Drosophila melanogaster: one gene and its partner. The protein of the gene in region 1 purifies or fractionates together with the protein of each later gene. This does not show direct contact. Each region holds a gene or a part of one and is shown in the gene's direction. Other genes may lie near its edges.

Region 1 (5,494 bases):
CACGCTCTTTGCGTCCCGTAATATCGTTCATGTCCATGCGTTCTTCATCATCCGACTGATCACCCTCAACATCTTCGCAGGGCAGACGGTTGCTTAGCTTGGCCGGCTCCTTGGGCTCCTCAATAGGTATATAGTCGCCTGCACCTGGAATATAACACAAAGAGTAAGCCATCGCTAGTGTGGCAACGTGTCGAATCTTACCCTGTTCTCTAGCCCTTTGCCGACGTTTTCGGGCAGCGTGTATCATTGCTGCATCCGGAATGGAACCACTTTCGAGCATCTGTTTCAAATGTTCTGGCTTGGAGAAACGGTGACGCGTTTTGTCATGGCCACCATCCTCGGATTGCTGGTCTTCTTCATCGCTCATATCCTCCCGTCCAGCGCAAAGGGCAGCTCTACCGTTCAGAATTGCCTCGGGAGTCTCAGATTTCTTTACCACTAGCTGGGGACAAGATAAGTAAGTTTTATATTATTGTGGATTCCTAAAGGACTTCGATTAGGGTGAAGCATTGGTATTCATGCTGCTTTTGTGGAAGGGAAGACATGCGACTATCAATGGTGGGAAAATTACTATTTATGTGACTACGTTAGCAATGGCTTTGATTTTTGGTAATTCAAAAAATATATCTTTGAATGTTACATAATATTTAAATAGTTTTCTTCTGGTAAGGTCAAGTTGTATGCGTCAATTTATTATCAAAGAAAGAATGAGTTAGAATGTTCTGTGATAAATTTTCTAATTCGTGGTCATAGTTACAGTAGTAGTACTTAAAGATCGCATTATAATTGGAAATTTTATGTTGAGTGATAGTTGGATCGCAGATCCTAGACACTTCCCATCACTGACCAGTTAAAACGCCAAGCAAATCAACGTCTAAGCTACTAATATTTTAAAATTGGCACTTCAGACCAGAAAAACCAACTAATTTAATAACACATTTAAACTCATTCAGCCTAATCTTTGCTGCTAATTGTTCTACGATAATTCAATGTAATTTCTGATGTTGAAATTTCGTTAAACGGTATTATTGTAGAAGAAATTGAATAATAATAACCTTACCACAAAGTCGTCTGTGCGTATTTCGGTTTGGATCATATGATTATCACTTTTTTTACTTTTACTCTGATCGCTGGCACTTTTATATCTGCCAGCATTGGCAGGATTCGAGTTGGAATTCGGGGGACCCGATGATGGGCCACCGGACGACTCTAAATGCTGTGTACTACCATTTTCGCCCCCGGGATGTCCGCTGTTTTCCGCCCGTTCCTCGCGCTTCTTCTTGCGGCGTTCCTTGTCCAGCATGCGCATCACTTTCTTGCTATGCGACGACTTTCGCACCTGGAACACCTCGCCGTCATCCTCTGCAAAAGAATTGGGGATTTTGGCTCCATACTCTTTTTATATTCCGGTATCACTCACCATCATCTGCGAAGCTGAGCAGCGCCTTTGGCTTGCTGTTGTCCTCCTGCGGCTTTATGGCCTTCCGGCTCTTCTCTTTCTCCCTCTTGCCCGAAATTATGGGAGGCGGTGGCGCCTCCATTTCGGCGTCCGGATCCAAGGATGCGCCGTCCTCCTCTTCGTCAGCGTTGCTGGAGAACACGCGTCGCTGAATTTTCTTCGGTTTGCGAAAAAGCGACATTTTCCACGATGTTGTTGTTACTCTGCGATTTGTTTAATCAATGAAAAATCGGAAGAAAAGCGAATTTTCGCAAGATCTCTTCTTCTTGCTGTCGTATTGTAATAGAGATGAAAATCTTTCGATGTCGTTCTCGTGCTCACGTGAGTCACGAGCAGGGCTGGAACGTTAATTCTCGGTCCTCGGTCTAGCACTTACAAAACTTTTCTGTATTGAAAATATGAATAGCTTTACAAATTTTGAAACTATTGTAACAATTAAATAAAAATGTGATAAATACATTAATTTGTATACCCAGGGCAGCTACACATAAAACTGGTCTTATTAAAATATCGGCAAGAGCTTAGATGACTTTTCATCCCTAGATACCGACAACGGCCATCTCTAATCTCTGAATTCGGCGACCGCAGGGCGTTTCAAAACAGACCGAAAAGTCGTTAACTTATTGGTGCCTTGAGTCACAGAATCTCTAACATGGGCCTTAAAGGTTGTGAATTGCAATTGGACAACCCGTGGAACACCTACTACGCCGGTCAGACGGTCAACGGCCAGGTGAAGTTTACGTTCGACTCGCCCAAAAAAGTCCGAGGTAAGTGCGAATCCAAGTCCCAATTGTGGGCAGCGCTGGAGAATGCTAATTAAAACCCCAGCTGCTTACTATTACTCATAGGAGTGACGACACCTGTGTAAGAGTCAATGATTAATTGGAAATTTAGTAAATAAATATACATAGCACTTTCGTCTTCAATGTGCAGGATGTTCACTGGCTGTCGTTGGTAGTTTCCTTGCTAACTTCTTAAAATCCTGACGCAAAAAGCCGGCGCACCACCCACAAATGTCGGTTGCTCTTTCGGTGCCTAAACGACCTTGTTTTCAGAAAGCTGGCGGTTGTTAAACCCTCCAAAGAAATGCACTTTCTCCTCTTTTCAGTTGGGCGATAACAACTATAAATAGCTCCAAGTGTGAATGAATACAAAAGAAAGTAAATAAATATGTAGTACATTTGACGGGGGCATGTAACCTATGTGGCAAACATTCCACCATAATCAAATTTTGAGGTCACCAAACACGGGAGACAGATGCTGCCTGGTAGCGATGATGTCATCCGTTGAGTATGCCTTAGAAAGCTTTTCATATTATTTATAGCTAAAATTAAAGCGCCACAGTGACGTCGTCGATTGTCATTCCGTAAATACAGCCACTTGTTTCTCGTAGGTATTATCATTCGGTTCCTGGGAGAAGCCAACACCGAGTGGTCAGAGGAGAAGAGCGTAACCACCAGCGAGGGCAAGACCGAGAACGAGGTCACCCAACTGAAGGGGCATGAGGAGTACTTTAAGATCCAGTACTATCTGCTGGGCGGCAAAAACAGTAAGTACAAAAAACAGACCGGGAATTCACTCCCCGGTTGCCAGACCTTAGTTTATCTGAAAAGAATTGGAGGATTTAATTATTGAAAGTGTCTATTATTAAGCATAAATTTTTGTATTCTATGGTGTAAGAATTGGCCAAGAAGATTTTTGTTTAAAATTAAATTTGTCCTTATATGAATCGAATAAATGGGATTGCACTTCCTCGCTCTATATAAAATAATAACTAAATCTTGTAATTACTATACACCTTATAGCATTAATAACTTCTCCTTTTGAAACTACAATAATTTAATGTTTTTATTTAGCTTTATTAAATAATATACCTTGACAGACCCTTCCTCTGCGCGTAAGAATTGAAAACATAATAAGCTATAAGTGACCTTTTTAAAATGCTAAAAGTTAAATGTATGATTTTGCAGGCTCTGAGACGGAACTACCGCCTGGCACTCACACTTATCCATTCACCTGTGCTCTGCCGCCTAATCTACCCTCATCCTTTGAGGGCGAATTTGGCCATGTGCGCTATACCATCAAGGTGACGCTTGATCGTCCGTGGAAATTCGATCAGGACATGAAGATGGCGTTCACAGTAATAGCGCCCGTTGATCTAAATCTCAATCCTCGAGTCAAGGAGCCATTCAAGCTCGAGCTAGAAAAGTCATTCTGCTGTTTTTGCTGTCGCTCAGGACCGCTGGCTGTCATCACGAACATCCCGCAAACAGGATTCGTTTCGGGGCAGGTGCTGCCCATCACCTGCGAGGTGGACAACACCAGCAACGTAAATCTTACGGCAGTGAAGTTTGAACTGCGTAAGCTGGTCACCTTCCACACAAACCAGCCACGGAGCGAGAAGCGCGAGTCCAAGGTGATCATAGCCAACTTAAGTGTTGGCCCAGTCAATGGCGGCGAGTCTCGCACGTTTACGCAACAAATGGAGATTCCGGCGCTGCCACCGACCAACCTCCTCAACTGCGGGATTATCGCTTTGGACTACGACCTGCATGTGGAGTGCGAGGTGAGCGGTCCGCACCGCAATCTCACTGGCAAGGTGCCAATCACCTTGGGCACTATTCCATTGGCTGGCGTACGGCCACCTACTCAATTTACGGATGCTCCGTCGGCGGTTCAGTCCGAGGATCCATCGCTGGCGCCCACACAGCCAGTGAGCCCGGCGAGCCCTCCTGGCGGCGATGGCGTGGGTGGTGCTCTAGGCTGGAACGTGGCTGACAGTACTGGTGGTGGTTCACTGTATCCTAATATACGTGAGTATTAAAATTATGGAGTTTTGTGGATTTTCTTTTAAATTATAAAAGCTTCTTAGTAGGGTTATATATCTTTATTTATTAAAATATTCTATTTTCATTTTGCAGCGCCACCGCAGTTTGTGGAGACACAGTACCGGGCACCAACGATCGCCGGTAGGGACGACTCCGAGCATACGCAGATGATCGGCGACGGAGCCTTCGCACCTCGGTATCCGACTTTCCAGTTTAATAATGCCACAGCACCGCCAGCTAGCCAGTGATTGAATCTCTAAGCTAGACCCACAATGATATTCTTAAACTTTGATGTCGAACTATTTTCTTCTGGCTGTCTCTGTTTCTGGAGGGTTAGCTTTCGCAATTTTTATCGGCTTTGCATTTATGAAATATTAGCTTTCCGTCCAAATAGAAAGCATAAACAGGTGCAGTCAAAATAAAAAAGGTCTACCTATACAAAGTTTTTGAAATGCTTAACTTCTGTTTATAATTAAATAGCTTTCGGACAGTAAATACAAAGAATTGGGTCTTTATTATTTTGACTGCATCTGTGTTTAATTTAATAATCGTATAAATACGCACAATTGTCAATTCCGATTTAAACTGCTCAAATTTAATTTTTTCTGTTTTTTTTTAAGCCAGCAATAGTGCCTAAAACTGATGTACGACTATAATCGTAATAAAACACAAAAGATAATGAAGGTTTGATACATGGGCATAGCCAAATCCTGGGAGCCAAAAATGTGTTGAGCCTTGAGGAACTTGTTTTATACGGAGCATTGGGAGATTTAAGAACTTGGAATGATGGTGCTATCGTTCCATATTTACTTCTTCTTTTTCTTGCAGTATTCATTCAGTTCCCTGGCCTTTCTTGCTTTCTTCTCACACTTGCACTGTTCCTTCAGAGCTATTTTTTTGCATTTGGCCTTGAGGATCTTCATCTTCTTTTTCCTTTGTCTAAGCTTCTTTTCGGCTATTTTTTTGCATATCTGAAAAAGTCCTTCGGGATTGGCTTTCGGCTTCGGTGGTGAGGGTGGTGCGGCTTTAGATGGTGGAGGGGATGGATTAGCAGCTTTTGGTGGTTGGGCAGGAGGCGGAGATGGCGTTTTAGCGATCTCCTTCTTCACCTCCTTCTTTACCTCCTGTTTGATGTTCTCTTTGACATCCGTTTTAGCTACTGGAGCAGATTTGCTAGCATTCTTCTTAACTTGGGCTGCTTCCTTGA
Region 2 (5,026 bases), about 18 Mb from region 1:
AAATAATATGACTAAGGACCTAGATATAAACAATGTACCAAGCAACACACTAAAACACATTTTGGTGTAGAATTTAAATTAACTACTGAGACATGTGTGAGCAAGGCGCTCAAATCGATTTTAGTTCCATATTGTTGTACGAGGTTTCATTGAATTGAAACAAGGCAGTTGAATAGCCTAAACAAATATTTTCCTTTTATTTATAAATTATGTAATAAACAAAATATGCTTTTAGTGCGATCAAACGATAACAAAACATTTTTGCATTTATCATTCCCTAAATTGGGTGGGTTACACATAAATTTGGGGACTTCACTTAATCGTAGTACCAGTCCAAGAAGAGCAGGGAGAACGACATGACCAGCAGGAAGAACAGCGACCACACGCGTAGTCCTGCATTTCGTTGAGTGGCCTGCCGGATTTGCTCGTTGGCGTCCTTGACGTTTTCCGTGGTGCCCACGACGGCACTAACTATCCTGTCGATATTGTGCTGTTGCATGGCGACCTACAAAAGGGAAAGGGAAATTTAAGAGGATTAAATGAGATTAGGACGTGGATCTATCTGGATCTAGTTAATAATTAATTGCATGCTAATAAGAGCCCGGCTTATACATCCATTGTAATCGCGAAGGATGTGGATTTTAGCGAAGCCAATTAATATTTTTAATTGAAGGATTAAGTCGACAAACATATGGGCAGCCACTTAAACCCACTAAGTATTCTTGGCAATATGGAGCAATATGTTCTCACCAAAATTAAACTAAAGATATCGTTGTTAAGAACAGCAAGGATTCCTTGGGACTTGTGTTATCATGCCATCTTACCTTTTCGGTGAAAATGTCCTGCAGTTGGGCAATGTCTACCACGTTCTTTTCGATCTGCTCCACCTCCTCGGAGACGCCCTGCAGAAAGTTGTAGATGTGTACGTTCTCCGCCTCGAAGAGCTGCACATCCTCGGCGCTTAGGGGATCGTCATCGTCGGCCTCCTGCTGCTGCTGGAGCTCCTCATCCAGAGCCATCTTGGAGGATGAGTTGTTCAGATCCGATCTGTTGGCTTTGCTTCGTTTGCGCGTACGCGGTTTGTGTTGATTGGCCTGATTGGCTTCCTTGCCCTTCTCGCCATCGTGATCGTCCACCTCGTCGCCTTCCTCGTCTTCATCCCAGTCGCCCCAGGCGTCGTTATTCCAGTCATTGTCGGCGGACTCGTCGTGGTTGCCATTTGCTTGTGAAGATGACTTCGTGGCTTCGCTGTCATCGTTGCTGACCTGGCGCCTGCCCAGCTTGCCACTGTTGCTGCCCGCCGGACGCACTGGTATCTTCTTTTTGTCCGCCGCCAGCTTGAGCAGCCTATAGGTTTCCAGTTCGTGTTGCACACGGTACTTCTTTTGGTCCAGATAGATCTGTTCCACGCTGTGCAAATAGCTGACCAGCAGGTCCAGCACGGCGTCGATGTGCTGACGCTCCTGCGGCTTCCGCTTGGCGCTCTTCCAATCGCTGCGCATCTTGGCCAGGTGCTGCGTGTAAAAGGTGACGAACTTCTCCGACTCGCGATCAATCAGATCCCGCTGCGCGTCGGTCATGTGTGCGGCGGACTTGAGGTGCTGGCCAATGCGCATGTAGGCGGTGCGGTTCTCGATCAGCACATTGCGCAGCGAAGTGATCTTGTTGCACACCTCCTTGGCCTGCTTGGCGAAGTCATCCTTTGGGCCAATTGGTCCAGTTTTTGTCGGCACTGTGGCGGGCTTGGCCTTTCCGGCCAGCTCGGCCTTGCGCTGCAGGCGCACCGTCATTACGCTGGCCTTGAAGCTCTGGGTGATGTCCATAGCTATTTGCTATAACTAAGTTTGAAATATTTAACTTTTAAATCCACATCATCGGTCCAACACAATGTGGCCGTTCGTTTAACCGTTTGCAGTGTGACCTTATGATGACCGTTAATATATACCAGTTAGCTAATACTAAAAATAGCTAAATGTTATCGATAAGCATTTCAGTGTTGGCTAATGAATTTTCACCCCCACACTTATAGGTGATTTTTCGCCCAACGGTGTACGGTCACACCATTGGCAGAGCACAAACAAAATACGTACTTTTCTGCTTCCAAAGTGTCGAAAAATCGCAGCGCAGTGAAGTCCAGTGTCCGATGTAAATGGTTAAGTAAAGTGAGTAACAAAGGCCGACACAGAAGCCGCATTATTTGCGCAGTTAGCCGACCATTTGGTAGTGTGCGTGAGTGGCTCCGTCGCAGTGCGTTGGTGTGCGTGTGTGAGCAACCAGTTTCCTTGGATTCCTCATAATCTCCATGTGTGTATATGTAACAAAAACAATAACAATTTAACCAGGCGAATGCAAAACACTCGCAAAGTTGGCCAATACCGGATGAACCTCATCATCATCATCATCTTCCACATATTCATGAGCATGGTCGGCAGTCGAAGCCCCTGAATTCCGATAGCAGCCATTCAGCTCGATTTATTAATAATAATTGCCCATTTGCTCGGAATGTATACACATTTCAGTGACTTCAATTGTTCGTCGTCATTTCACCTTGAATTGCGGGCAAGGTAAGCGTCCAAAAGTCGCTATGGATATCGTTGCGCTTCATTTACCGTATTTACCATATACTCTATAAGAAAGTCGCTCTAAATTCCGGGTGAGCCATGTGCTTTGGGTTTTTTGGTGGATCCAATAGTTACACGTCGACAAGAGAAACAATGGCTTATCTTCTTTGGGAAGGATCCCGAGATAAGCTTGTACATAGTGAGAAATTTTAAGTACTGATAACGAATTTTGAACATTTCATTTGAAAAGTGCATATCGGAAGAATATACACAGATTTAGATTTTTTTTTTTTTTTTGCTATGTAGCTTCATTATAAGATGATTGTCCAAACCAATGGAATATACATACATAAAGTGCCCTACTATTTCGGATGACTAATAATGCATGTAACCGCATCTAGGCTGCTGCCAACAATTTCCCTAATTAATTCTTAAACAACATAACAAACAATAGATGCAATGCAAGACCTTTAAACTGATTAATCGTCAATTTTGATCCACTCACACTTAAGCAACACCGCCGTTTATTTTCTATTATTAATTGCTGCTCGCCAGCGATCAAAGTTTCGCATTCGCGGCTCTCTCCCTTGGTTTTTTTTTTGCTTTTAGTTTTCGCTTTTGTCTGGTTTGTGCAACATCAGCGATCGGCGGGGGAATCACAGTCGCTGGTCTGTTGGTAGATCCATTCGCTATGGATCCCTCAATTTATTACACAATTTTGGGGGCCAGACTGTCAGTAGTCTTTTATCTATCGCGCTCTCCATCGAGCACGTTCGCTTGAACTTTGTTTCGCGTGGGGGAAAGTCGATTCCTTTCTTTCGGGTTGTAGATAAGCAATTAACTACCTTATAGATCTGATAAGCTCTGGCATAGAACACTCTTTTATTTGTAGGAAGTTTGTGCGTATTAACAATAAACATCGAATTGTGTTTCATAAATGCTCACTTCTAATATTATATGGATAATAACAATTTATGAGCTTTATTAAATCAATGTGTAAATTCTAAAACAAATTATTTTCTCTTCAGAACACTGAAAGTGAACTCATCTAAAATCGAAATGAAGTGATGTTTTCTCTTAGCAGCAGTGACTCAGAACCGAAATCTACTCTATGCGAATGTGGTCTCTCGCTGACTAAAGCTAATTATACTATTCGGCTGCACCTCAGCCCATCGTAGCAACGGCTTCCAGTTGCGGCAGGTACGGAGGCAGGGTGTCTAGTCCGCCGGCCACTCGATCAAAGCTGAGGGCATGACGCGGTGAGGTCATCAGCTGACGTACTCCGAAGGCCACGTCCTCACAGCTGCTCCGCTCGCTCGGCTCCAGCTGCCAGCAGTTGAGCAGCAGCTGGTAGAGATCCCCGTAGACGTAGGCTGGCTGCGCCGGACGCACTGCAGCCCGAATGGCCTCTAGAAGCTGTTGGTTACTTGCCACTGCATTGGCATAGGGAGTACCGCCAAGGGCACAGCATTCCCACGCCACGCAGGCCAGGGACCAGACATCAGAACGGGTGGAATGGTGATGCTGATGGCGCAGCACCTCCGGGGCCAGCCACCGGTTGTGGTCTGGCTGCTGGCGAGCAATGTTCATGTAGGGCAGCGGTCCAAAGACGCTCAGTTTTAGCTTGAAATCGCTGGTAACGAAGACGCTGTGCGAGCAGAGCTGTCGATGCACCACCTGGCAGCTGGATAGATAATTCATGGCACTGGCAAGCTCGTAGATCCACTGCAGCACTAGCTGCTCAGAGAGGGAAGTCAAGCGTGGCGACGGTGCCATCAGGCGACTCTCCACCAGTTTTCTCTTTAGACTCATGCGTTGCTGCTCGAAGATTAGGTAGAACCAATCGGGACTTGCTGATACTCCATAGAAATCTAGCAAATGCTCCTGGCGCTTCAATTGAGACAACTGACGTAGTTCTCTCAGCAACTGTGCCTGTGTAGTACCATTCAGATCGTCCAGACAGAGCACGTGCAGGGTGCAATCTCTGGCAAAATCGTTTGTGGAAACCTTTCCGGTTATAATCTCACCAAAGCGTCCGTCTCCGATCACATCGTTCACATTTAGTCGTAGTGCATTCCTTGGTATCCGTTCGTATCCTTCCACCAACTGTTGCAACTGCTGCTTGAAGTTTTCCGGCGAGTGTGGCAGTGGATCGTCCTCCACAAGGTATCCGTTATTTTCCCGCTCGATTATGGGCGTTTGCAGCGTCATCTCGTGCGTATTGCCACCAGTCAATCGTCGCCCGCGGCAGGTCTTGTAGCGCAGATAGAAGTAGGCAATAAGACTGAGCAGGAGGCAGGAGCCGAAGATCACACAGGTGACAGCTAGGGCAACCACCGAGGATTGACCCTTCTCAAAGGTGGCGTAACTAAAGTCGTCTAGGGATGTCACATGCTGGTCGTGAGTTCCACGACTGTACATCGTCTTGGTAACGCCCTCCAGTGTGCTCACCTAGAATATAAATA

Evidence for each region. Proteins that work in one complex are often made in the same cells at the same time.
Region 2: the proteins of CG1105 (region 1) and atl purify together in Drosophila melanogaster (affinity purification with mass spectrometry, with the first as the bait; 2 studies listed by BioGRID). This does not show direct contact.

Annotation. Positions count from the first base shown.
Region 1 is NT_033777.3:7,063,656-7,069,149, reverse strand, and holds CG1105 (uncharacterized protein), read left to right. Parts: upstream 1-2,013; 5' UTR 2,014-2,111; coding exon 2,112-2,226; intron 2,227-2,852; coding exon 2,853-3,008; intron 3,009-3,429; coding exon 3,430-4,272; intron 4,273-4,380; coding exon 4,381-4,535; 3' UTR 4,536-4,964; downstream 4,965-5,494. Other genes in the region: CG1965 (uncharacterized protein), read right to left, coding at 1-144, 202-442, 1,061-1,362, 1,421-1,640; Mst84B (Male-specific transcript 84B), read right to left, coding at 5,094-5,494.
Region 2 is NT_033777.3:24,623,651-24,628,676, forward strand, and holds the start of atl (atlastin), read left to right. Parts: upstream 1-2,020; 5' UTR 2,021-2,162; intron 2,163-3,415; exon of another isoform or gene 3,416-3,725; coding exon of another isoform or gene 3,726-5,012; intron 5,013-5,026. Other genes in the region: Syx18 (syntaxin 18), read right to left, coding at 317-505, 825-1,823; wsck, read right to left, coding at 3,726-5,012. UniProt on the Drosophila melanogaster protein: Membrane-anchored GTPase that mediates the GTP-dependent fusion of endoplasmic reticulum (ER) membranes, maintaining the continuous ER network. It facilitates the formation of three-way junctions where ER tubules intersect.